3 linked regions of the Arabidopsis thaliana genome follow. The protein of the gene in region 3 binds, or shares a complex with, the protein of the main gene of each other region. Each region holds a gene or a part of one and is shown on either strand. Other genes may lie near its edges.

What was found. Proteins that work in one complex are often made in the same cells at the same time.
Region 1: BGLU22 (region 3) and GLL22 share a complex: the UniProt entries of both Arabidopsis thaliana proteins name them as parts of the PYK10 complex.
Region 2: BGLU22 (region 3) and JAL22 share a complex: the UniProt entries of both Arabidopsis thaliana proteins name them as parts of the PYK10 complex.

The regions. Positions count from the first base shown.
Region 1 is NC_003070.9:20,152,059-20,159,213, forward strand, and holds GLL22 (GDSL-like Lipase/Acylhydrolase superfamily protein), read right to left. Parts: upstream 4,463-7,155; 5' UTR 4,308-4,462; coding exon 4,049-4,307; intron 3,725-4,048; coding exon 3,606-3,724; intron 3,375-3,605; coding exon 2,906-3,374; intron 2,819-2,905; coding exon 2,490-2,818; 3' UTR 2,096-2,489; downstream 1-2,095. Other genes in the region: GLIP3 (GDSL-motif lipase 3), read left to right, coding at 1-20, 102-357, 447-694; AT1G54010 (GDSL-like Lipase/Acylhydrolase superfamily protein), read right to left, coding at 6,796-7,109.
Region 2 is NC_003071.7:16,411,939-16,419,709, forward strand, and holds JAL22 (jacalin-related lectin 22), read right to left. Parts: upstream 4,908-7,771; 5' UTR 4,841-4,907; intron 4,800-4,840; exon of another isoform or gene 4,393-4,799; 5' UTR 4,386-4,392; coding exon 4,185-4,385; intron 3,862-4,184; coding exon 3,400-3,861; intron 3,127-3,399; coding exon 2,668-3,126; intron 2,579-2,667; coding exon 2,324-2,578; 3' UTR 2,096-2,323; downstream 1-2,095. Other genes in the region: AT2G39300 (CAP-gly domain linker), read right to left, coding at 1-614, 693-931; AT2G39320 (Cysteine proteinases superfamily protein), read right to left, coding at 5,654-5,901, 6,014-6,233, 6,379-6,453, 6,553-6,579. UniProt on the Arabidopsis thaliana protein: Inhibitor-type lectin that may regulate the correct polymerization and activation of BGLU23/PYK10 upon tissue damage.
Region 3 is NC_003070.9:24,704,621-24,712,920, forward strand, and holds BGLU22 (Glycosyl hydrolase superfamily protein), read right to left. Parts: upstream 5,377-8,300; 5' UTR 5,118-5,376; coding exon 4,953-5,117; intron 4,795-4,952; coding exon 4,725-4,794; intron 4,648-4,724; coding exon 4,592-4,647; intron 4,263-4,591; coding exon 4,187-4,262; intron 4,064-4,186; coding exon 3,986-4,063; intron 3,897-3,985; coding exon 3,809-3,896; intron 3,721-3,808; coding exon 3,468-3,720; intron 3,375-3,467; coding exon 3,259-3,374; intron 3,182-3,258; coding exon 2,964-3,181; intron 2,860-2,963; coding exon 2,825-2,859; intron 2,718-2,824; coding exon 2,615-2,717; intron 2,532-2,614; coding exon 2,423-2,531; intron 2,347-2,422; coding exon 2,139-2,346; 3' UTR 1,892-2,138; downstream 1-1,891. UniProt on the Arabidopsis thaliana protein: Beta-D-glucosidase active on scopolin >> esculin >> 4-MU-glucoside. No activity with DIMBOA-glucoside, pNP-glucoside, oNP-glucoside and sinigrin as substrates.

The DNA.
Region 1 (7,155 bases), 4.6 Mb from region 3:
ACATTACATTCGTTATCGAGGTAAACAAAAATCGGAAAATAATTTCAAATATTTACCTTTTTTCTAAAACTGAGTTATATATATATGTTATGTGATCTTAGGAAGTGTATAAAATGGGAGGAAGAAAGTTTGGATTTTTGAACGTGGGACCGTACGAATGTTCACCAAATTCATTGATAAGAGACCGAACAAAGATAGGATCTTGTTTCAAACCTGTCGCTGAGCTTATCGACATGCACAACAAGAAGTTTCCCGATGTTTTAAGGCGGCTACAACGCCAATTATCGGGTTTTAGATACGCCCTTCATGACTATCACACTTCTCTTTCCGAAAGAATCAACAGTCCTTCAAAATATGGTTACTAAACTTGGTATTTACATATATGTAAGAGATCGATCTATAGGTTACCTTTAAGAACATTTTGTGTTATGTTTGTTAATTTTTAGGGTTCAAGGAAGGGAAGAAGGCATGTTGTGGAAGCGGACCACTGAGAGGAATCAATACGTGTGGAAACAGAATAGGACCGTCGCAAGGTTACGGCCTATGCGAAAACGTTACCGATTATTTGTTCTATGATTCCTCTCATTTGACGGAAAAGGCTCATCGACAAATCGCAGAGCTGATTTGGAACGGGCCGCCTAATGTCACTAGACCTTATAATCTCAAAGCTTTATTTGAACTTAGGCTTACATAAAAATCGCCTATATGTATGTATATGAAAATAACTGACGAGGTCACTATATATTGTCTAATAATGTTAGTCATGTAATTTTTTGAGTTAGGATAATAATAAAATCGATTAGTTTTTTTGTGTGGAAAGGAGAACAATTCTATGGTGAAAGTAAATAAACTTGATGAAATACTAAGGTACAAAGACAATTAGATAGACACAAGAAACAAGCATGTCGTAGCAGAAACCTTATTATTAGGGCTTATTTGCGTTGACCTTTCTTGCACGGGAAGATTAGCCGCCAGCGCGAGAAAAACCATTAATAACCCTACGACGATTGTTAATTTTTTTGTACGAATGTAAATTTGATTCACCAAAAACAACTTTGTTTACATTATGCAATAATTTGTTTAAATTTAAATGTTGAGCTTAAATTTTAATTAGGAAAACAGTTTGTATTTTGAAATATTAGAGACGTCTTGTGGCAAACCAGTTACACAAAGCATCATCAAACTTGCCTTTACCGTGAGTCTTTAGATCGGACTGTTCGATCGATATCCTTGATGAGGTTAGTCGCTGTTGAAAGTTGTTCCTCATGTCTTCTCATATTTTTTTCTCTACATATTGTATAAACTGCAATTTGGAAAGTACATGACCTCATATGTGTTGATGTGTGAGACTGTAGTGTGAACCAGAAACTTCGGCAGTCACCAACGTGTTGAATAGTAATATAAACAGTTGAGTTTTTCAATTATATACGACAAATAAAATGTTACCATATTAGACGGATCTACTATATTTATCATGTGATGGATCCAAATCGTTTTACTACTATTTTATGGAATTAATTATCAACATTGAACGTAGATAAAGGAGAGATAAAGTCAAGATCGGTGTGTTGCTTCAATTATTGAGATTTTTAAATTATACTATTTCAATTTGTATGTTTTAACTTATGTCCAGATTTAGCGTCATTTTTTTCTTATTTAAATAGAAAAAAAATACTTAAACTTATGACCAGATTTAGCGGATGAGATTTGTTTGGTCTTATTATATTTTTATTTTCCTGTCGCTTATGATCCACAAAATCAGATCACTAATGCCCACTATATGTATTTACTGTAATAAAATAATCCCAACTGGTAATGATATTTATTTTCAGTTTGGGAGTATTATATTTTCCCAGCTGGTAAAAGATACTTTATCATATTCGTTTTATAATTATAATTAGCTTATTGTTGGGTCAAAAGAAACCAAAAGGAATTAGCTTATTATTTTAATTCGGTGTCATAAAACGAATCAGTCATATATTTTTACATAATTTATACTTACTCTGTTTCTTTTTGTTTAATTGTTTAGAAAAAAAATTATTTCAAAAATATTGATTTTTTAGATTTTTAATACAATAGTTATTAGTTATAATTGATAAATTGTAAACTTCAATACAAATTAGTAAATATCATTGGTTTAGAGTTATTGAAAATTGTAAATCACAAAAAACAATACATTTAAAAGCAACATTTAATATATTTTCTTAATATTTATGTTTTTTCTAAAAAATCAAACAAAAATGAACAGAAGGAATATAAGATATCGAATAGATTAGAGTAAATCGATAGACTAATGAACTCTCGATAAATTCCAGGACGTGGAAAGAGTTGATAAGATCAATCTTTTATTATAGAGAAAAACTCACTAGAGAAACAGGAAAACATTGCAAATCAAAAACATCAAGATTCCGATTTTGATTCGGTTATAAATTAACTCATGACCATTGTAGAAAACCTGATTGACCCTAAAGATTGAGTTTTAAAAAGACTCAGTAATACTCGTAACCGCGGCTAGTGGACGAGCTAGAGTCGCTGGCGTGGACAGTAGCTGGCGTTGGAGGCACCCAAAATTCACGCATGGGTTCATCGACTGGGTAAACAGTAAGCTCACGGACGTTCATCGGTTGGACAACATTTGTATCGGCTCCAAAAAGAAGATGGGCAAACATTTCTTGCGCCTTCTCGGAGTTGTGACGTCCGTCGAAGAATAGGAAAGACCGTTGGTACTCACATAGCTTCGAATGCACGTTAGGTAAACCGCAACCATAAGCATCGTGAGATCCAACTCCGCAGCACGATGCGTTCGTGACGAAAAACCCTAAGAATGACAAATATTAATGACTTGGTATTAGAAGTTATAAAACTAAAACAAATGAAATTAAACCATGATAATTAACCAACTCACGGAAGTTTTGGTTCCTCTGCGTCCTAGTAAGAACGGCATTGTAGAAATCAAAGACGGTGAATTGGAAAGGAGCTGATGCAGGAGAGTTTCTAGCCATTTCGTTCAACATCGGTCCAATTTTTTCGTTGTGTTGTTTAGCCAAATCGTTGAGTTTCTCATAGCATTGATCCATCCCGGTGTTGTATTCTTGTCTGACGATGGGTAAGCAACCCAATGGAGCTAAGGTTTGGATCACGAATTTACTCGCTCCTGATGAATACAACGCGCTAATATCGTTCTTTAACTTGTTGGTCACGGAAGTAACAAAAGCTTGTTGAGCAGATGCATCAGCGGTAGGGTTGTTCTTGGTGAAATTTAAGTAATCGTTTGCACCAATGTATATCATAAATACTGACTTTGCCACGAAATCATCGTTCCAATTTGCTGCTTTCATTTGATTGAATTTTTTCACTTGTTGATTCAGAGTCATCTAAAGAACCAAAAAAGAGAAAAAGACAAAAATTAAACCAATATTATAAGTGCAATTAAAGTAAAGCTTATTGATATTAAGTCACATGCTTTTCTGTGAAGTAAAACAAAAAGAATCCCGCTTAGTATGACCGGGTCAATAATAGACAGATATAATTGATTTTCTTTGAATTAGGTGTTGACTATAGATATATACATGACTCTTATATAATAAGAAATTAAGTTTACTTACAGATTCCACCGGAGCTCCGAGTAGAGTAGCACCTTCGACGGCGAAACTAGCTCCACGTGAGACATTGACGTTCGGTTGAAGCGCCGGCGCGATCGCGAGCGGAATCTTCATGAATTTAGCTGCATTTTGTATTTTAAAAATATTTTAGTTTTTCATATAATATCAAATCATTCCTTGTACTACATCTCCGAATCTGTTGACGAAAATAATAAATAAAATTTCATAGAATGTGTCCCGAAAAGTGAATAGCCGCTGAACCAATGCATTTATAATCTTTTTTTTAATCATACTATTTACTATTTTTTAAGTAATTCACTAGTAGCATACTTAAAATGCATTTATAAATACTACTGTTTATGATTATTTTTACGTAATCATACTATTTTTAACATACTTAATGTTTTAAAGATTAGAGTAGGATTCGATTAGAAAAGAAGTCGTACCGAGGAAGTCCGGAGTGATGAGGCCGTCGGAGAATTTGCCGTTGGGATCATCTCGAGATTTTCCGTACGGCCAGAAACCTTGAGCGACTAAGGTTTTGGTGAGAGTCTGTTTGTTTCCGGCGTCGAAGTTGGAGTCACCAAAGGTGAACAAGGCGACCACCGGACTATTCTGTCCGGCGACAGTGATGGGGTTGTGAAAGAGGGTCAATACCAAAATTACACATAGAACACTGACTAAATTACAGTTGTTTGCCATCATTTAGAGAGAGGGAGAAACAGAACTGTGAAAAGAGAAGAAGATTGCTTTTGTGCCTTAGCTCGTAGACCGATTCGTTATATTTATATTGCAAGTACTACAATTTGGCAATGAAAATAATAGTTCATTTTACTATACAAATAATAACGTGTAGCGCGAGGTTCATTTTACTATACACCTATTTAACGCACTAGCAAACGATTATCGATCAATTATATTATATAGTTCGCTTAATCACGTCTGACGCATTACTGGTTTCTCTTCTACTTTATTTTTAATTCTCAACAAAATATCTATTGTTACTACGAGTACCAAGAAAGATCGTGCTTTTTTTTTTTTGGTTCAACAACAACTTACAATTACACAAGAGTCTGAATACACATAAGCTTTAACCCAATCCGGCAATATAGAATACAATTTGGGATCATAATTCAGAAAAGAAAGAGATTCCCTAGCAATTCTATCTGCCACACAATTCCCTTCTCATCGGGTAAAAGTCACTTTAACCTCTTCGAAGTGCTGAAAAGATCGTGCATTTAGAGGCAAGAAGTAGAATTAAACATACAAATTTCACGGAAATATAGGGTGTAAATGGTAACACTAAACCAGATTCAGTAATTTCTGCAGTAACCATTTGCATAAAACTAAATTTTGCTGACTAGCCAAATTCAACAAAAAAATTTCAACACCAACATATACGTAGATATGTTTATTTCTGCTAAAACTTTTGGATAATTTACGAGTACACAACTCGAATTAAAATATTTTTAATATCAAAATACATATCAAATAGATATTTTTAAATAAGTCAGATTATACTGATACGATATATGAATAATATAGATACATAAAATATCACTACCAGAATAGACAAGAGACGAATATGTTCGGATAATTATAGATAATTTGGATAATAATTTTAATAACGTTTAGATAACTTAAATCAATTATTAAAATTTTGCAAAAACAACTCATACCTATGCTAAGATATTCTTTAAAAGATAAATTATAGTAATTTCCTTAATCATCCTCATCATATTATTGATTAAATTACTTGAAAACAATTAAAAAAAACAATTAACAATCTATATTTTATCATCATGTTAATTTTTGAAATTATTTTCTTAATAGTGTTTTGACAAAGATTTTCGTTAATTATTTACATATTTTTAATAGTTCAAATTTAAATAAGAAAGAATAACTCAATTTTGCGTTGACACAATCTTAATAGTATAGGTAATAGCTTAGTTATGTATATATAAATTATAAAAACTTGTGGAGAGTTGTTCCTTAAGATTTACAGTGAAGATTAGAGAAGATTAAGTTTTGAGAGAGTGTCTATATCAAATACAGAAGAGTTGGTCCTTATTCGTTTGTAAGTTCTAGTAATTATCAATTTGATTGGAATCATTAGAACGACAGAAAGGTGAACAATTTTGTTTCTAAAAGAGTGCAGAAACTAGATAAAAATAAAACACATTTGCTTACGTGAAGATGAAGTTTTATATGAAGAACGCCTCATTTGTTTGGTTCATCTATTATCTATATATATGATTTTTGGTTTTATTTCATATGAAAATTAACTGTAAATATAGCCGGCCCCAAAGCCAGATGTATAAACTTATCTTTTCTGGAACTTTATAATTTCTACTTTTTATTTTCTTTGTTGCCAATCATTTCGAATATTACCTTGCAAGAATAATTGCAAACAAAAAAAGAGGGTAAAAAAGGTCTCAAATTGAATCCACTACCTTCTTAAATTGATTCCACCAAAATTTATCATTTTGTTCTAATGGAGTGCATGTGGCCCGAAACTTGTCTAATCTGAGCACAAAGCAGGTCATTGGACACGCTTTGGTTCATATTGTCAGGTTTATCACGTTACTCATTGAGATTTTTCTTATGGAAAAAACAGAGTTGAGGTTACATTATTATTTTAAATCTCAACAAATTAATAACAGCGCATTTCAAATTCCAAGAGCTCGTTCATGGTATAGAGATGGAAAATAGTGAGCTCAAGAACTAAACGAGTTAGATAGATTCACTAGCATCGACGTCGACGTCATGGACTAACGATGATATTCTCATCCATTGGATCCTCCCAAAACTCACGCATAGGCTCATTAACAGGATACACAATGAGCTCACGAACATTCATAGGTTGGATAACATTTGGGTCCGCTCCAAAAGATAAGATGATGAGAAAACGCTTCTTGTGCCTTCTTTTTTTAATTATGGAATTACCTTTTAATATGTGGTTGACAAAAAAAAGAAATAAATTTATGTAAAAGTTTTGTTTCTTTTAAATAAAAGATTTGCAAGGGGTAAGAGTTGCAGAGATCAATCTTTTATTATGGAGGAAAACTCACTAGAGAAACATGAAAACATTGGAAATTAAAACTACTCAAGATTCCGATATTGATCCAGTTATAATTTGACTCATAACCCTTATAGAAACCCCGATCGATCCCTAAATATTGATTTTAGAGACTCAGTAATACTCGTAACCGCGGCTCTCCCTGAGTTGAACGGTGGCTGACGTTGGGGGCACCCAAGACTCACGCATAGGTTCATCGGCAGGGTAAACGACAAGCTCACGGATGTTCATCGGTTGGATAACATTTGTATCGGCTCCAAAAAGAAGATGACCAAACATCTCTTGCGCCTTCTCAGTGTTGTGACGTCCGTCGAAGAATAGGTAAGACCGTTGGTACTCGCATAGCCTCGAATGTACGTTAGGAAAACCGCAACCATAAGCATCATGTGTCCCAACTCCGCAGCACGATGCGTTCGTAACGAAAAATCCTAAGAATGGCAAATATTAAACACATGGTATTAGAAGTTATAAAAA
Region 2 (7,771 bases), on a different chromosome or scaffold from region 3:
CACAATCTGAAAGAAACTTCTTCTCCTCCATTTCTTCAGAAAGCAACTTCACTCTCTTCTCAGCTTCTTTATATCTCTTTTCCAGCTCTGAACTAACATCGTCTTCCTTACACATGTCCTTCCCATGTAAGAAAAACTGTTGGTACTGCAGCTCTGTTTGGTCGTCCGGATAATATTCATTCACAGGTTCATATTCTTCAGTCAAAGGAACAACAACATTAGCCAAAACATCCGAGTTTGAGTCAAGAATTTTACCGCAAACATCTTGTATTCTGATGGGCTCATAACTCAAAGCCTTCGACTTGCCCTGAGTATTATGAGAGAGTCTTTCAATAACACTTCTTGCAAGTGAACGAGCTGATGCATCCCTCAAACCTTTAGACTTCCGTTTATCTTTGCCACTCTCTGATAACGGTGAAGGAGATTGAGCTCGCGGTGGAAGCCTCCTTCTACTCCCAGAGAGACTACTACTATGCAAAGAACCGCTCTTTTGCTTACTCCGTTCTAAATGCTCTTCTCCATCAATGTAACGATCCAAGACTTGACTCGAGACATTGCTAGAACATGTTGACATACTTCCATATTCTTTAAATTGTCTTTCCGGAGTTAAACATCTGATGAAACATACAAATTAACAACTTAATATAACAACAACAACAACAATGTCATAGAAAGAAGAGTTTATTTATTACCGTGACGAATGATTCCGCAGTCGATGCTGATTTGAAGAAGTTCCATCAATGACAAAAGCAGCAGAGGACAAAGAACGGCTTCGTCTAAGAGCAGCTCCAGATACTTCACTCTGAGACTTGTTAAGACCCTTTGGACTATTCAAATATCGTTGAAAGTGATCATCTTTTTGCTTGTGAAGCTGTTTATTATGATCAGTTCCATTACCAGATGATGACTTGAAAAAGAAAAGCTTCTTCATTGGTAACAAAGGTTCACTAGAGTTGTGCAGCTGGAATCAAAATTATAAAGAAGCAAAATAAGAAAAAGGTTTCTTCTTTGTTCAAAAAACAAAAGGCAAAACAGCGCATAGAAAGGGACATTGATTAGAGACAGTAATCATGAAACACAAAGGTTTAACAGAGCAGAGAGTGTTCTAAAGTGAAGTCTTACTTAAACACTTGCTCGATGAGAATAATTCAAGAGCATCTTTATTTTTAGCTTTGAAGATTTAGATATAATGGTTTAAAAATAGAAAACAAGATCAAGATCGCCACAAATTACGATCAAAATGAAGAAAATGTCAGAGCTTTTCTGACAGATCCATAAACATCGAAGTGAGTCGTAACACAAGTCAAAAAGACATAACTACCCTTTAAACCTTTCCACTAAAAAAACCTTAAAAAACGAAGCAGAGCATCGAACCTGAGTCTCTCAGTGGCGAAGAAAACAAAGAAGAAAATTTTCAGAGGATTTACGATCAATCAAATACAAATATGGATCAGTAACAGTTTTTTTGTTTGAAATTCAAAATAGAGAAACCAAAAAATCGATGGAGTTATGAAGTTTACCGTATAAACAGAGAGATTGATTCCTCAAAATCGGAAATCGAGGAGATATGGAGGGAAACTCAATCAAAAATCAAAACCGATATTATCAAAGCTGAGTTTTTTTACGGCGTTTAGTTAAACGGAGAGACTTTTTTTACAAGAAGGAAGAAAGCGTTACGGCGGCAGTGTAACGGAGAGAGAAAGGCGTAAGGACAGAGAAACAGGGTTTCTCCGTAAATTCGAGTAGCAATGAAGGGTAATATGGGAAATTGAGTCCGTTCACTTTTTAAATCTTTTTGAAGGAGCGGGCCTTTTTGATTGTTTTTTATTGTGGGCCTAAAATTGTCTTTTTTAGCTGTATATTTTGGTAAGCAAGCATTACTCAATTTTGTTTTTGCCTTTCTCTTAATTAAAACAAATAAGATAATCAGTCTCTGTGAGATTTTTAATTGCTAACTTGTTTGAGGTTTTAAATAGTACCATGCTTTGATAATTATCAGTAAAATATAATGTGGACTAATAAATCTTAGTGATTTGTAATAATAATGTGGTATTTTTTTTCTATTTATGCTAACTAATAAAATAACTAGAATTGATTAGGGGATTTATTGAAATTAATAGGCATGTAGATTTTTAGAACCAGATTAATTTTTTGGCAGTAAATAACAAGAAATCACAAGCCAATCTTATTGGAATTATTAGCACACAGTAAGTTACTTGAACTTACAACCACGTATTAAAAGTAACATAGTAAAGAGAACACACACACACACACACTCCAATCTTATTGGAAGTTTCATGTAGTATATATGACTAACTGGTTTTCACTCGGTGGTGGTGATGGGCACGATAGTGACTCCGATGCTGTGAACAACATCACTAGCTTGTCCATGGAATCCAACGATCTTGTGGCCTTCCTCTCCAAGCGAGAACTTCTTACCAGAATCCATTCCAAACGGCATTGACTCCCTTTTGTTGGTCTTAAACTGAAGACATACAATTATTGGTTCCTCAACTCCGAAGATCTTATCGTAGTAGCCATCTATGTTCATGAGATATTCACCATCTTCAAGCACAAACTGCAAAGATTCAAAACCAACAAAGGATAAGTGTAAATAATCTAGAATGAATTGAAAAAAAAAAAAAAAAATTGTTGTTTTTAAATGACCTCTTCAGCTCCGAGTAATGTCTTCTTCCCATGGTCATCTCCGGGTACAAGGTCTTTGCCCTTACTGTACTCAAATTTGACAAAGGATACACCATCGTTACCTTGTCCTACAAGTATCTTCCTTACACCGTCGTAGACACCATCATCCCATGTAACTCCTTCGTTGCCGCCTATCGCTGGTAGTTTCTTAGATGGAATCAAGGGAGTAGGAGTAGGAACAGGTCCAAAATATGCTCCAAGAGCATCAATAGCTGCATCTTCCTTTCCATGGAACCCGACAAGCCTATGACCCTTTTGCTCCAACACAAACTTCTTACCCACATTATACCCAAAGAATGATGTTCTCCCCTTTGATGTTAAGAACTTAAGTGACGTAATTGCCGTATTGCTAAAAATGTTTGGCTTCTGATAGGTTGCTTCCACCGATTTGATGTATTCATCTGGGTAACCAAGCACAAACTGCAACAAGAAGCAACAAAATAAGAAGACTTTTTGTCTTAAGAGATCTAAATACATGTGTCAATTATATCTACAAAAATTTGAACCGGAGTGTGTGAGAGTTATACTTCATACTACTGCAAAGAATCTACAAACACAATAATTAATCATTGATATTTGGAACCTAATTTATGTCGTTGTACTAATGATCACATATAAATAGAGTTTAACAATTTATAACATTTTTGAGAAATTATTGAACTAGTCGTGTATAAGAAGAACTAGTAAAGTTACCTCGGATGGTGTATCTCCTTTCCCCCCATGGTTACATGTTTTTGCTTCCCCGTCTTTCTCGTACTCAACCTCTAAATAAGTGATACGAGAATTATCTTGATCAATACGCAGCGTTTTAATGCCATCGTAAGAACCATCATCCCAAACACGCCCGTCTGTACCACCTTGGGCATCAAGCTTGTAAAGAGGGAACGGCGTGGTATCCAATACAAAGTAAACTCCAAGAGCGTCGACAGCATCACCTGCCCGTCCATGAAACCCTACGATCTTCTTTCCCTCATCCTCAAAAACAAACTTTGTACCGGTCGTAATTCCAAGTAAGTTTGGACCAAACAATGGAGACTTTCTACCCTTTGAGGTCTTGAAGACGAGGGACGTAATCACCTCTGTGGCAATGAGAGCCACTTGGTGGTAACTTCCCTCCACTGCTATGATGTGTTCGTCCGGGTATTGAATTACAAACTGTATGTAATAGTAACATATATTCAATAAAATTTATAGTATTTAATATTGATAGGTTTAGGATAATTCTCAAGATTTCCTAGTCCTAATATACAGTATCTGAGTTTTGGTTTTATAACGTTGTCTTAGTGTTTGTGTCTTATTCATTTACACAAGTAGTGTAATACAAAAAAATTAGAGAGTCACTAAAGGGTATCCGCCTCAGAAATACTTGCTTCTTCTTGTTTATGTCTTAAAGGATTTATCCAACGTTAATCCGAATTCACAAGAGTAATTTACTAGTATCGCAAAAAATTAAGGGTGAGAATAAATGCAATGAGAACCTCTTTAGGGTGCTGATTTGTTGTCCCATATTCAGTTGTTACTACTTCGCCGTCTTCCTGCACGTACTCAAACTTGATGTAAGTGATACGGTTGAGATCTTGCCCTACATACACTTTTCTTACACCCTCATATACATCGTCGTCCCATTCTTGTCCTCCCTCACCACCGCAGAGTGCCAACTTCCGGTACATCTTCGCCATTTCGAATCTAAAAAATATTGTAAAATGCAAAAATTACTTCTTATATAGATAATCCAAAAACGAAAGTATATATGTACAGCTTTATATATAGTTTTTAAAGCTGGTTTGTGGTTAGTAATACATAAATACCATGATAACACTGTATAGCCTATTCAAATACATAGCAAAAACACCAAAATGATCCAAGAAACACAAATAGAACAATCAACTGATCATGGGTAAATATTTACTGTTTGATGTTGATAGCTCTATTATTGGTGATGTGGTGTAATATAAATCAATCAATTAGGTTTAAAAGTGTTTGTTAAATCTAATATATTCAAGAATACATATCTACATATAAAGAGCTACTTCTTGTTTTAAAAACATTTTGTGAAGCAACATACATAGTAGTGGAAACTAGGAGTTACTTTAAAAAAAAAAAAAAAAAAAAAAATTGAAGGGAGAGAGATAACCAGTTAATTATTGAGCTCTGAATGATGGAAGGAGATGAAGCTTATGGGTATTGAATTGTGTGTATTTATTGACAATCTTTGGCATACAAGGTCTTCTTGATTGTCTTTAATTAATCATTTTAATAATCAACTCGTGTGACACGAGAGACTCCCTCACAAATGCAACAAATAATTAGAGTCCATTACGAGTGCAATATATAATAATAGCATACAACTTTCTAGATGCAGAGATATTTTAAAGTACGACAGATGAACAAAACAATTCATCAAAACAGCATAAACCAAATTCAATATATTGTTAACTAAAACAAATTTGATGATGTTAATGTTGCGATTCCCACCAAAATCTCCTATTTAGTATTAAGAATCTTTTTGACTGCACATTTTGAAAACAGATTTAGAATTATTATCTTCAAACTAAAACGGTGTATAAGCTTTATTTCCTAAGTTACTGTCAGAAATATCATTCATTAAAGTTTCAAATGAATTTAACAGTTATTTAAATTTTGTATAAACTGTGTTCATGCAAAAGTTTGGCTTATCATCATCATATATTCATGTCCTTGCTTTTTGGAGTCGTTGAGGATCGACGGTTGGATACCATGGAGACGATGGTCAAGTTATTTTGGGACGCTGATGTTATGTCATGATGACTCTTTCACATTATCATGTTGTGTTTTATGATTATCAGTATCTAAGGCTCAAAACTAGAATAAGCTCGAAAAGAACATAAAAGAGTCAAAACAACCACAATGATCCCAATAATAACATACAACTTGTCAAATGCAGATACACTTAATTTATCAAAACAAATCATTCAGAATAGTGAAAGTGGTGATTTCTGTTCTTCTTCTCCTTCTTCTCCTTCTTCTCTTTCTGCACCTTGGCTTTCTTCTTATCCTCCTTATCCTTCTTCTTATCCTCCTTGTCCTTTTTCTTCTCCTCCTTCTCCATGTCCTTCCTTTCCTTCTCCTCCTCCTCCTTTTTCTTCGCCTCATTCTCCTTCTTCCTCTGTAGCTTCATCCAGACTGCAGAACTCGATGATGAAGATGAACGTGAACCTGAAGCAGCCAACAAGACGAAGAATAAGAATGATACAATATTGCTCAAAGCCTCAAATCAAGAGTAAGGAGATGAGATGTATATACAATGGAGAAGGAAGAGAACGTTAACCTTTTTCTTTATTTTTTTTGTAGATGGAGTTGAAATGGATCCCAGCTAGATAGCTCATATGAATGACTTTGTCCGGTTCCTTTTGAGACTTGGGCAAAAACTCCATAAATGGAATAAGTTTGATTGATGTAATGAGTATTATTTTTACTTGATACACATCAGCAGCCACTCTCAAAGTCACTTCATCGCCCCATTGGGAATTAGTGGACAATGACATGTTCTTTATGGGAGAAGTCCATATGATCAACAAACCCTTTGTAAATCTTCGGATGAGTTTTAAGCTGAGAGTCATCAATCAATCAATCATCATATGACATTAATACACGTATGAAAAAAACAATCAAAAGTTTGAAGATTGATATTACCTGTTTTACGATTTCTTGTCTAACAAGTTCATGACAATCCGAATTTTGATAAAGTTGATCCGCCAAAGCACGGAACTGAAATAGAATTATTGACAAAAACATGAAAAAGGGTTATTCATAATACGATCAAAAATATATATCAAGTTGATTGTTTGATATAGAAACATTAATTACCTGGCAATTTCCATCACTTTTCATCATGATTTCGGTGTAATTTTCCCATTCCAATCTGAAAATCCAGGAAGAATAAGAAATAACATATATAGTCAGAGATTATCAGGCAAAAAAATAATTGGAACAAAGTTTACAAGAAGAATCGATCAATACCTATACTCAAGTATTTCGCGATCACTAAGACCGTCCAAACACAACGACTTGGTCTGAGTATTAGACATCTTTTAGAGTTGAGATTGATCGATGGTTATTGATTCAGAACAGAGTCTCGATCTCCTCTCTTAGAAAAGATTAGGGCTGCTAGGTTTAACGTTTCTCAAAAAAAAAAATCTTTCTCCAACAGTTAATTGTGAATTATGATGATCCTATCCTTTAATATACTAAAAGAACGAAAAAGAAAAAGCAAAAAATTCCATAATTAAAAAAATAAACGAAATTTACAATTATCTTAAGGAAAAATAAATAGTTCATTTCTTTATGTTTATACCGATGGTATTGTTTTATTTGCGTATGATTTCATTTTCACTTGTATATGTGCCACGTAGGCCTGGGCACGAATCGAATATCCGGAAAATTGGGGATATTTGTTATTCGATTCGTTTTAATCGAATACTTAATTTTATTATTTGCTTTGATCCGAAAATTTTCGAATAAATGAGTACGATAAAAAATGACATCAAGTATTTGATATATTGAGTAAAAGGAATTAGAAATATTAATTAGATGGCAATTTCCATCACTTTTCATCTTGATTTCGGTGAAATTGTGCAACTCCAATCTGAAAATCCGGAGAAAAAAAACATATTTAGTCATGATTAGATTCATATGTAGGAAAAATATATATTTATTTTCTTAAATATATAGGACGACTCATTTTCGATTACTTTTAATATTATTTTTTGTTAAGATTACTTTTAGTCATTTGGGCAACATATGCATAATCAAATCTTGTAAGACCACTTTAGAGATCTGGGCTTTGAGGAAGACAACAATGAGAAAGCTTCTTTTTCTAATGTCTATGTCTTTGAAATGTTACAAGGAGCAATTAAAATAGTGGGTAAAAAGTTTCATTACATCAGTGGGGCTGTGTGTTCAATGTTAGCTACTCTGACACGGCTCATGGTAGATTTATTGAATAGTTGAAGAGAGCACACCAATTCTTATTGGACATATTTGACAGAAACAGTAAGTTACAAACACATCAAAAGTAGTAGAGTAA
Region 3 (8,300 bases):
ATATCCTATATAATGAATCAGAGTGAGTGTTAAATTTAAAACAAAAATATGAATAAATTAAAGAATAAACGTGGAAGTTTATTTGAAAAGTAAAATTGGAAATTTAAAATAACATGTTTTTTTTTGAAACAAAATAAAAATTCCACAAGAACACTAGTGGTTGTTATACAGAAGGACTATTATTAAATATTTTAAATTGGATGATTTCATTGCACGATATATAAACGTTGAGTTGTTTTTTATTTTTCTAAATCTTGAACGTATAATATTCATCATGCATAAACGTTGAGTTGTTTTTTTTATTGAACAGAAATAAAAATCCTCAAAATATAACTTAAAGCTCATCCCTCTTTATCGCGGATGGACTTAGGCCGTGTTCGTTTCATCAGTCAGATGGATCATCTAGATAGAGATGAGTTTTGATGTTCGTTTGGTGCCAAAAACGGTTCATTCAGATGATCTATCCAAATAAATCATCTGGATGACTTTGAAAATTTAAGCTAAATTTTGAAACTTATTTGGCTGAATTTAATTGGATCATTTGGATGGAGATGATCCAGTCAAAAATAACAAATAACAAAAATACCTTAATTATTTCAATTGATTATTTATATGTATTTTTTCGATAAAAAAACAAATAGACTTAAATCTTATTTTACAACTATTTTTAAAAAATAAAAAATTAAATTTTCCACTAAAACCGCAAAATTATTTTTTTTTCCGTTAAAACCGTAAAATTTTGTTTTTCCGCCAAAACCGTAAGATTCTGTTTTTCCGACAAAACCGCAAAATCACGTTTTCCCGCCAAAACCGCAAAATCACATTTTCCCGCCAAAACCGCAAAATCACGTTTTCCCGCCAAAACCGCAAAATCGTGTTTTCCCGCCAAAACCGTAAAATCACGTTTGTCCGTCAAAACCGTAAAATCGAGTTTTTCCCGCCATAACCGTAAAATCACGTTTTCTAGTCAAAAACGTAAAATCACGTTTTTCCGCCAAAACCGTAAAATTTTGTTTTTCGCCAAAACCGTAAAATCGAGTTTTCCCATCAAAACTGTAAAACCACGTTTTCCCGCCAAAACCGTAAAATAAATTTATAAATGTAAAAAACTATTATTTGAAATTTATTTACTTTTAAATATATTTTAGATTAAGAATTAAAATTAACATGTTTACAAGTAATAATAAAAAATATAATTAGATGAAAGCATGGGTAGTTTAGGTATTTGTATTATTACAAATCATTTGGATGGAGATAGAGATAAGCAAACGAACATCTCATTCGGATGGTCCAGTCAAATGAACCGACTAAAAATGAAACGAACAAGAGTTAAATAAATCATCCAAATAGACATGTTGAATGGATCAGTTGGATGGATCTATCAAATGTAGAAACGAACAGGGCCTTAAAACCTTGACCAAAGAAATCTTTGTAATACCTGGCTGATTGTTTCTCATAACATTGAGATTATTTTTAAAATTGACGTAGTAGAATCCCAATCTGTTATATTAGAACCATCTTGCTGATATTATGTTGTGTTCATTTTTATGTACATTGTCTTATCTTATCCGATATCAAATTATGTAACTTGATTTTATCTAAATTGTTTGGAAAGATTAATCTCAAACTTGTAGCTACGGTGTGACATCTTATCCGATCTCAAATCATGGTGATTTTCTAAAAATGTTAAACTATTTCCATTGTTTTATTTCATCGCCAAGCGGTTTAAGTTGTTGAAGTTATTAGTCATTAAAATATTTGCACGATTTAGTTGTTAAGACGACGTCTAGTTATTGCATAATCTATTTCTTTAAATAGAGGTAAATTCGTATTTTCAATATTTTAAAAACTATGATATTTTTACTTCATATTTAAAAACATCAGTCCTTTTGTAAATTTAAGACTTTTTTTAATATATATAATACAATATTTCTTCATGTTTTGAAGGTAAAGATACCTTCATATAAGGATAATATATTTATACTAAAGCATTCTTGATCATGTCAAATAAGCTAGAAACTGAAGGAATACAAAACACTTTTATTATTATTAACCAAGACTTCATGAATCATGATCAATCACAAACTAAAACATAGGAAAGAAGCATTGAACAGAAAACCAAATCCTCAAAATATAACTTAAAGCTCATCCTTCTTGAGCGCGGATGGACGAACACCTTGACCGAGGAAATCTTTGTAGTACTTGGCTGATTCTTTCTCATAACGTGTGAGGTTATTTTTGAAATCGACGTAATAGAGTCCGAATCTGTTATTATAACCATCTTGCCATTCAAAGTTATCTAATAATGACCATACAAAGTATCCCGTAACTCTCACTTTGTCAATGCTGCACATACACAAATTTTCTTGATTAGATCATTCCATAGAATTGTTCTCTAAATAAATAAATAGTAAACGGTTACCAAATAGCTTCGTTCATAGCTAGAAGATGCCTCTGAAGATAGTATTTCCTGTTATAATCAGCAGTACCAACCTCAACCGAATCTTTGTCCTTAAGTTTATCTCCATATCCTAGAAAAACAACAACATTAAGATGAATATATATTTTAACTCCAAACTAAATCAACACACAGTAACCATAAATCTCGAGTTACCATTTTCCATGATCATAATTTCCGGGTTTGCGTATTTATCTTTGATGTACTTTAAAAGACTTCTAAAACCTTTAGCGTAGACGGGCAATGCAGCGGTAAGAGGCTGAAAATAAAACAATGGTGATAGATGTTATGTCGTTGAGAGAAATATTTTAATTGTTTAGTTGTTAAAACAATCTCAAACTAGGACTAGTTTAGTTTAACGCATACCTGGCTACCAATGGCGCTGTGATCTACATTCTTAGCTGAAATTTAAAAGTGAAAATGTATACATATCAATTAGTATTATAAAGAAAACATTTTCTCTTAGTTTCTTGGTTTGGTTTCATGTAAGGAAAAAAAAACTTACGTTCCCAAGCAACAAGAGAATCTTGCTTCCAACTTGGTGTAGACGGATCTGGCTTTTCATTATGGTTTGAAAATGTTGAAGTATAGTAGTTAAGCCCTACGAAATCGGTCGAATCTTTCAATTTTGCTTTTTGTGAAGAAGTGAATTTGGGCAATCTGTGACCAAGAAGGTCTTTCATGATTTGTGGATAATCTCCAAAAGTAGTTGGGTCTAGATGCCTACAAATAATAATCAAAACTCCATCAATTATATGAAATTGTATACAAGACCCCATTTTATCAAAGTATATACCTACCATCCCAACATAAAGTCAAGTACACGGCTAACAGTTGGAACGTCATTTGAATCTTTAAGATCATGTGGTTCGAACCAAGCCGGACTATGTGCGATTCCAATTTTCCCACCTTTAACCTACAAAATGTCCATTAACACAACACAAAACAAATTATATTCATATCCAAAACCTGATAGTTAATTTTGATATATATATCTAATGTAAATTACCTTTTGGCGGAAAACTTCAACAGCTTCTGCATGAGCGTTGAGGAGGTTGTGACTAACTAGATAAGCCTCATAACCTGATCGTCCATCTCGGTCTTCACAACCTTTAAGGTAGCGAGAACAACGTCCTGGCGCCTTCTTGCCTACGTCGTAACCTGCATGAGCGAAGACCCATGGCTCGTTGAAAGTGATCCAGTTTTTCACTTTTCCACCGTATTCAGTGAAAACATAATCTGCATATTCTCGGAAATCTTTCCTGTATTTTTGCAAAAAATGATATTAAACTAATAATTTCCATATAAAATTTAATTAGATGTATTTTGTTTCAATTTACAAAAACATACACAATGTTCTCGCTTAAGAAACCGCCATATTCGTCTTCTAAATCTTGTGGAGTGTCCCAATGGAAAACAGTCACAAACGGAATTATACCTAGTTACAATGTAAAAATAGATAGAAATGTTAAATAATGATACTATATTTCTTGTCTTTTTTAATTAATTAGTTTATATGTATATAACCATTTTTAAGGAGCTCATCGATCAGGTCGTGGTAGAATTTCACACCAGCTTGACTCACTCCCTTCTCCTTTCTCCCATCTAAAAACCCGTTAGTTTGTTTGATTAGTCAATAAATGTAAAATTCATTAGTTATTGATTTATATATCAATTCACCAAATTCGATTACTAAATCAAACTAGAGATCTGCAGACATATACTCACGAGGAAATATTCTTGACCATGCGATTGAGAGTCTGAATGCGTCTGTGTTTAGATTCTTCATTAGTTGAATATCTTCCTACAAACATTTTTAAGACGAGACAAATTTTCAATAATATCTCGTATAATATCAGCAAACTAAAAGTATAAAATATAAGTTATATTTGTCTTAAAATTATATTAATATATACCTTAAATTTATATTAATATATACCTCAACTTTATATTAATATATTATATATACAGTGTGGCTCCTCTCAAGGGTCTAACCATTTCAAAGTTTTGTAAGCATCCTCTGAGTTAATTTTCTCAAAATTCTTTTCAAACAAGAGGCACTTTATTGTAAAGATGTTTTTTTTCTTTTGAATATACTTTAAATTTAGATTCAAAATACATATATATATTTACCTTATAACGATGGAAGAAATCAACGGCCACATCGGCGTTGTGGCCACTACATCTCTCTGTAATTTAAAAATAAAAAGTGAATGAATTTAGATATCTAAAGATATTGTATAGAAAATATAGATTATACACTCACCTGGATTTCTCTTACAGAAGATATCCCATAGAGCAGGTCCACGACAAGTTTCATTAATTGCACCTTCAACCTAATGACATAACGAAAATAGCTGATGAGTTGAGGTAATAACATATGTTTGAATTCAGCATTTGGACTTAGGCTTGAATTTTGATGGAGACACAACACTAATACATATTTTTGAAGTATAGTGTAGTAAATAATTCATTTTGATGTCTCACAGTTTACCTGAAACGCAGCAGTAGCTGTGCCAAACACAAACCCATTAGGGAAACTTGCTCGGCTTAGTTTGGACGTCGTTGGGCACACAGGATCATCGACGGCTATTGTCGAAGAGACGACAATGGTTATGAGAAAAAGAAGCCCCAGGAGAGGGAACTTTTGCAATGCCATGGTTTCTAATTTTTGGTCTTTTGGAAGAGAACAAGTTTGTGATGATTTGTTTACATCTAAACAGAGTTCTTAATTATATAGTGATTTTGATTGTTTGGTAATGACAAATAAGTCACTAAACTATATTTGTTTAATAAATTTATTTTATATATAGGTGTGTTCTTACTTATTTTTCAAAGTTTGGAACATATTATATTACGCGTGGAACATATAATAAAAACGTGCCTTTAAATAAATAGTGTATCCTATCAAAAAAAAAAAAAAATCGTGTATGTCCTATAACTGAAGTCTTCATCTATTGTTGCACCTTCGTCTTAATAATATTTCTCGTGTTTAACGAGCAACAATATTAACATTTAATCTTCCATAATCAACGGATCTCTCATTTAATGTCTACTTTCAAATATGCAACCAGATCTGTTTTACAAGAAAAGAAAAAGATATGCCAACAAGGCCTCGTTAATCATTTTCTTTAATTTTCTATAGTAATGATCCAGATCGAGTTTTTGGATCTTACTTTAGGTATTATTGACGTTTAAGATATTAATATTTATTGAATAAACTTTCATTTACTTATCCCACTAAGATAGTATACAATTATTTAACTATTGTATACGATGGTGGTTAGGAGCAACGTGTCCCCATGAGAAACTTTTGCAATGACATTTTGGTTTTTAGTTTTCTTTTTTTTCTTTTGTCTTGATTAAGAAAACAATTTTAGGATGGTTCATTTATATGTTAGTGTCGTTTTTTATAGCGATACTGATCTCTCATTAATGTCTTGTTTTTAATATGCCACAACCAGGCCTCGTTGATAATGTTTATTTTATTTTACTATATAGATAGATCTAATCATCCAAATGGTGTTTTCGATCTTATCTTAATCATGATTATTATTGACGTTTTCATAACTTAATATAATCTTTCATTATTGGTTTCCGCTTGACTATTATTTAAATAGGATGATTCATTCGATGAGAGATCCCGGGTGACTAAGCTAAACTATACAATTATAAATAAGAAAATCTAGTGTATGACCTATATCTTCAAAATCTTGAACCTGTAGTAGTCGTCCTGATCATAGGATACATTGGTAACTTATGGACCGTAAAACCTAAGCAAAAGACCTTATAATGGTTATCAAACAAGTTATTAGATATCAAGACACAACCTCCAATTAGACTGGGAGTTTGGAATGAGTAATCTTCGGTTTCGGACAAACAATTGGTCACATTCTAGTCGCATGCTGACTGCTGTCAGGACAGTGCGGTAAAGCCTAATTAAGATCAACGAAATTTAGGCATCAAAATTAAAATATAAATGTGGGGCAACTTTTTTGCCCAAAAAAACACAAATTGGGGTAACTATTATTCACCAAACATTTTTCTTGGTCGATCAATTGGTGGTGTAATTGATTATTTTTCTTTCAAACAACTCAATGAGAAAGTCCATTTAGATTTGGAATGACCATTTCTCAAAATGCTACACTTCATGGCCTTTGTGATCGAGGACATTGAAAGCTACTATTTACATGATCAGAAAATCTGGTAAGTTTACAAGTCCATATATATGTCAAATATTGTACCTTGGAAGAAAGCAACTTAAAAATATGTGTATTCCTCTTAGCTGATGCCCTACCAAAGCACATTGCGACTCACTACTCTCGTCTAGTCGTCATAGAAGAAGAATACACTGCGACTAGTTTTTTTTGCTCTCCTAAGAATGAAGAAACGGTTGGTACAATCTTTTACTAACTATGGCCAGTTCAATTACTTACCCTTGGTTACTTCAATGATCTGGATCAGTTAAGAGTCTTTGTGTATCTTTATGGCGTAGTCAAGGAAATGGAAACTTCCAATTAAATATAAAACTATTAAATACTAAAAAATAAAATAAATTCGACATGTGTCACGATTAAGCAACAAATATATATTAAATGTGACTGAATGAAAGTCGTTGTATAACTCCAAAATAATGAAGCTTCCTTATATATCATTAAAAACACATGTAACGACAATCTCTCTTGGTGTTTGACTTTGAAGGTGTTCTTGTTTTACGTCACGATGCATCAGCAATCACATTATTGTACTTTGATAATATTGTTAAGTATTAACAATATAATAGGTTCCACCTTCCACGCATTATGATCAGTAAATCACATTGTAGATTATTATTACTTTGATAAATATTTAAATCGAATATGTAGTAGCTAGAAACCTTTTTTTAACATACCATCTTTTTTCGTTGATAGTATTGCGCTGACGCTTATTTTGCTACTTGATGGCGATGCACCATCTATCTGTAAATAGATTTTTAGCATATTTAAAATACTAAGGTTTAGCCCGGGCTACGTTTGGTACTTATTTGGCGATAATTAATTTTAAGCTAGTTGAATTAGTTTTATTTTTAAAATTCATCAAACCTAACTCCACTACGGTGATACATGACTTCATTTTTGTTACATTATGAAGTTGATCAGGGTATCTTTATCGAACACTGTAGACATTAAAACAAGTATAAAAACAGATACATGTATATTTTCTTGGTACATACAATTTCGGCATTTCCTCCAACTGTAAAATAAGCAAAGATAAGTGACACATGTTTACACTTTACATAGTCCTCACCACAGCCATCATCTAACTCTCTTTGCTTCCACCACCACCTCCGCTTCTCCCTCTGAACGTCGGTTGCGAGTTGCGACCACCTCAGGTCCGTCTCTCACCCATGGAAACATGGGCATCTGCTACGGTCCACAAATTAAAAGGTCCAAAATTTGTTTGTATTTTAGTTGTTGGAGTTGGAAAAAAACAATAGAAGAGCCCTTTATATGTTGAAGATAAAAGGCCCCAAAAATTATTAACTTAACATAACAGGCCCATAAAACAATTAACCTAGTTAACTAGTTTAAAGAATTCAATCCGAATCTTCCTTATTGTCCTCCTTTTAGTTTTTGAGACTCACTCAGATCATGATCAAAATCACAAGCTCTCTAATTTTCTTCGGTCGTAAAGCTCATTAAAGCCTAGACATGTATATCTTAAAAGCTCCTAAACAAATAGATCTTAATTTTCCAAGAGTTTAATTATAATTTAGTTCCTAGAATGTTTAATCCTTGGGTCTTAGTGTCTTACAAAGATCTAATACTATTTTAGGTTAAATTTGAAGCATCTTTATTTTATT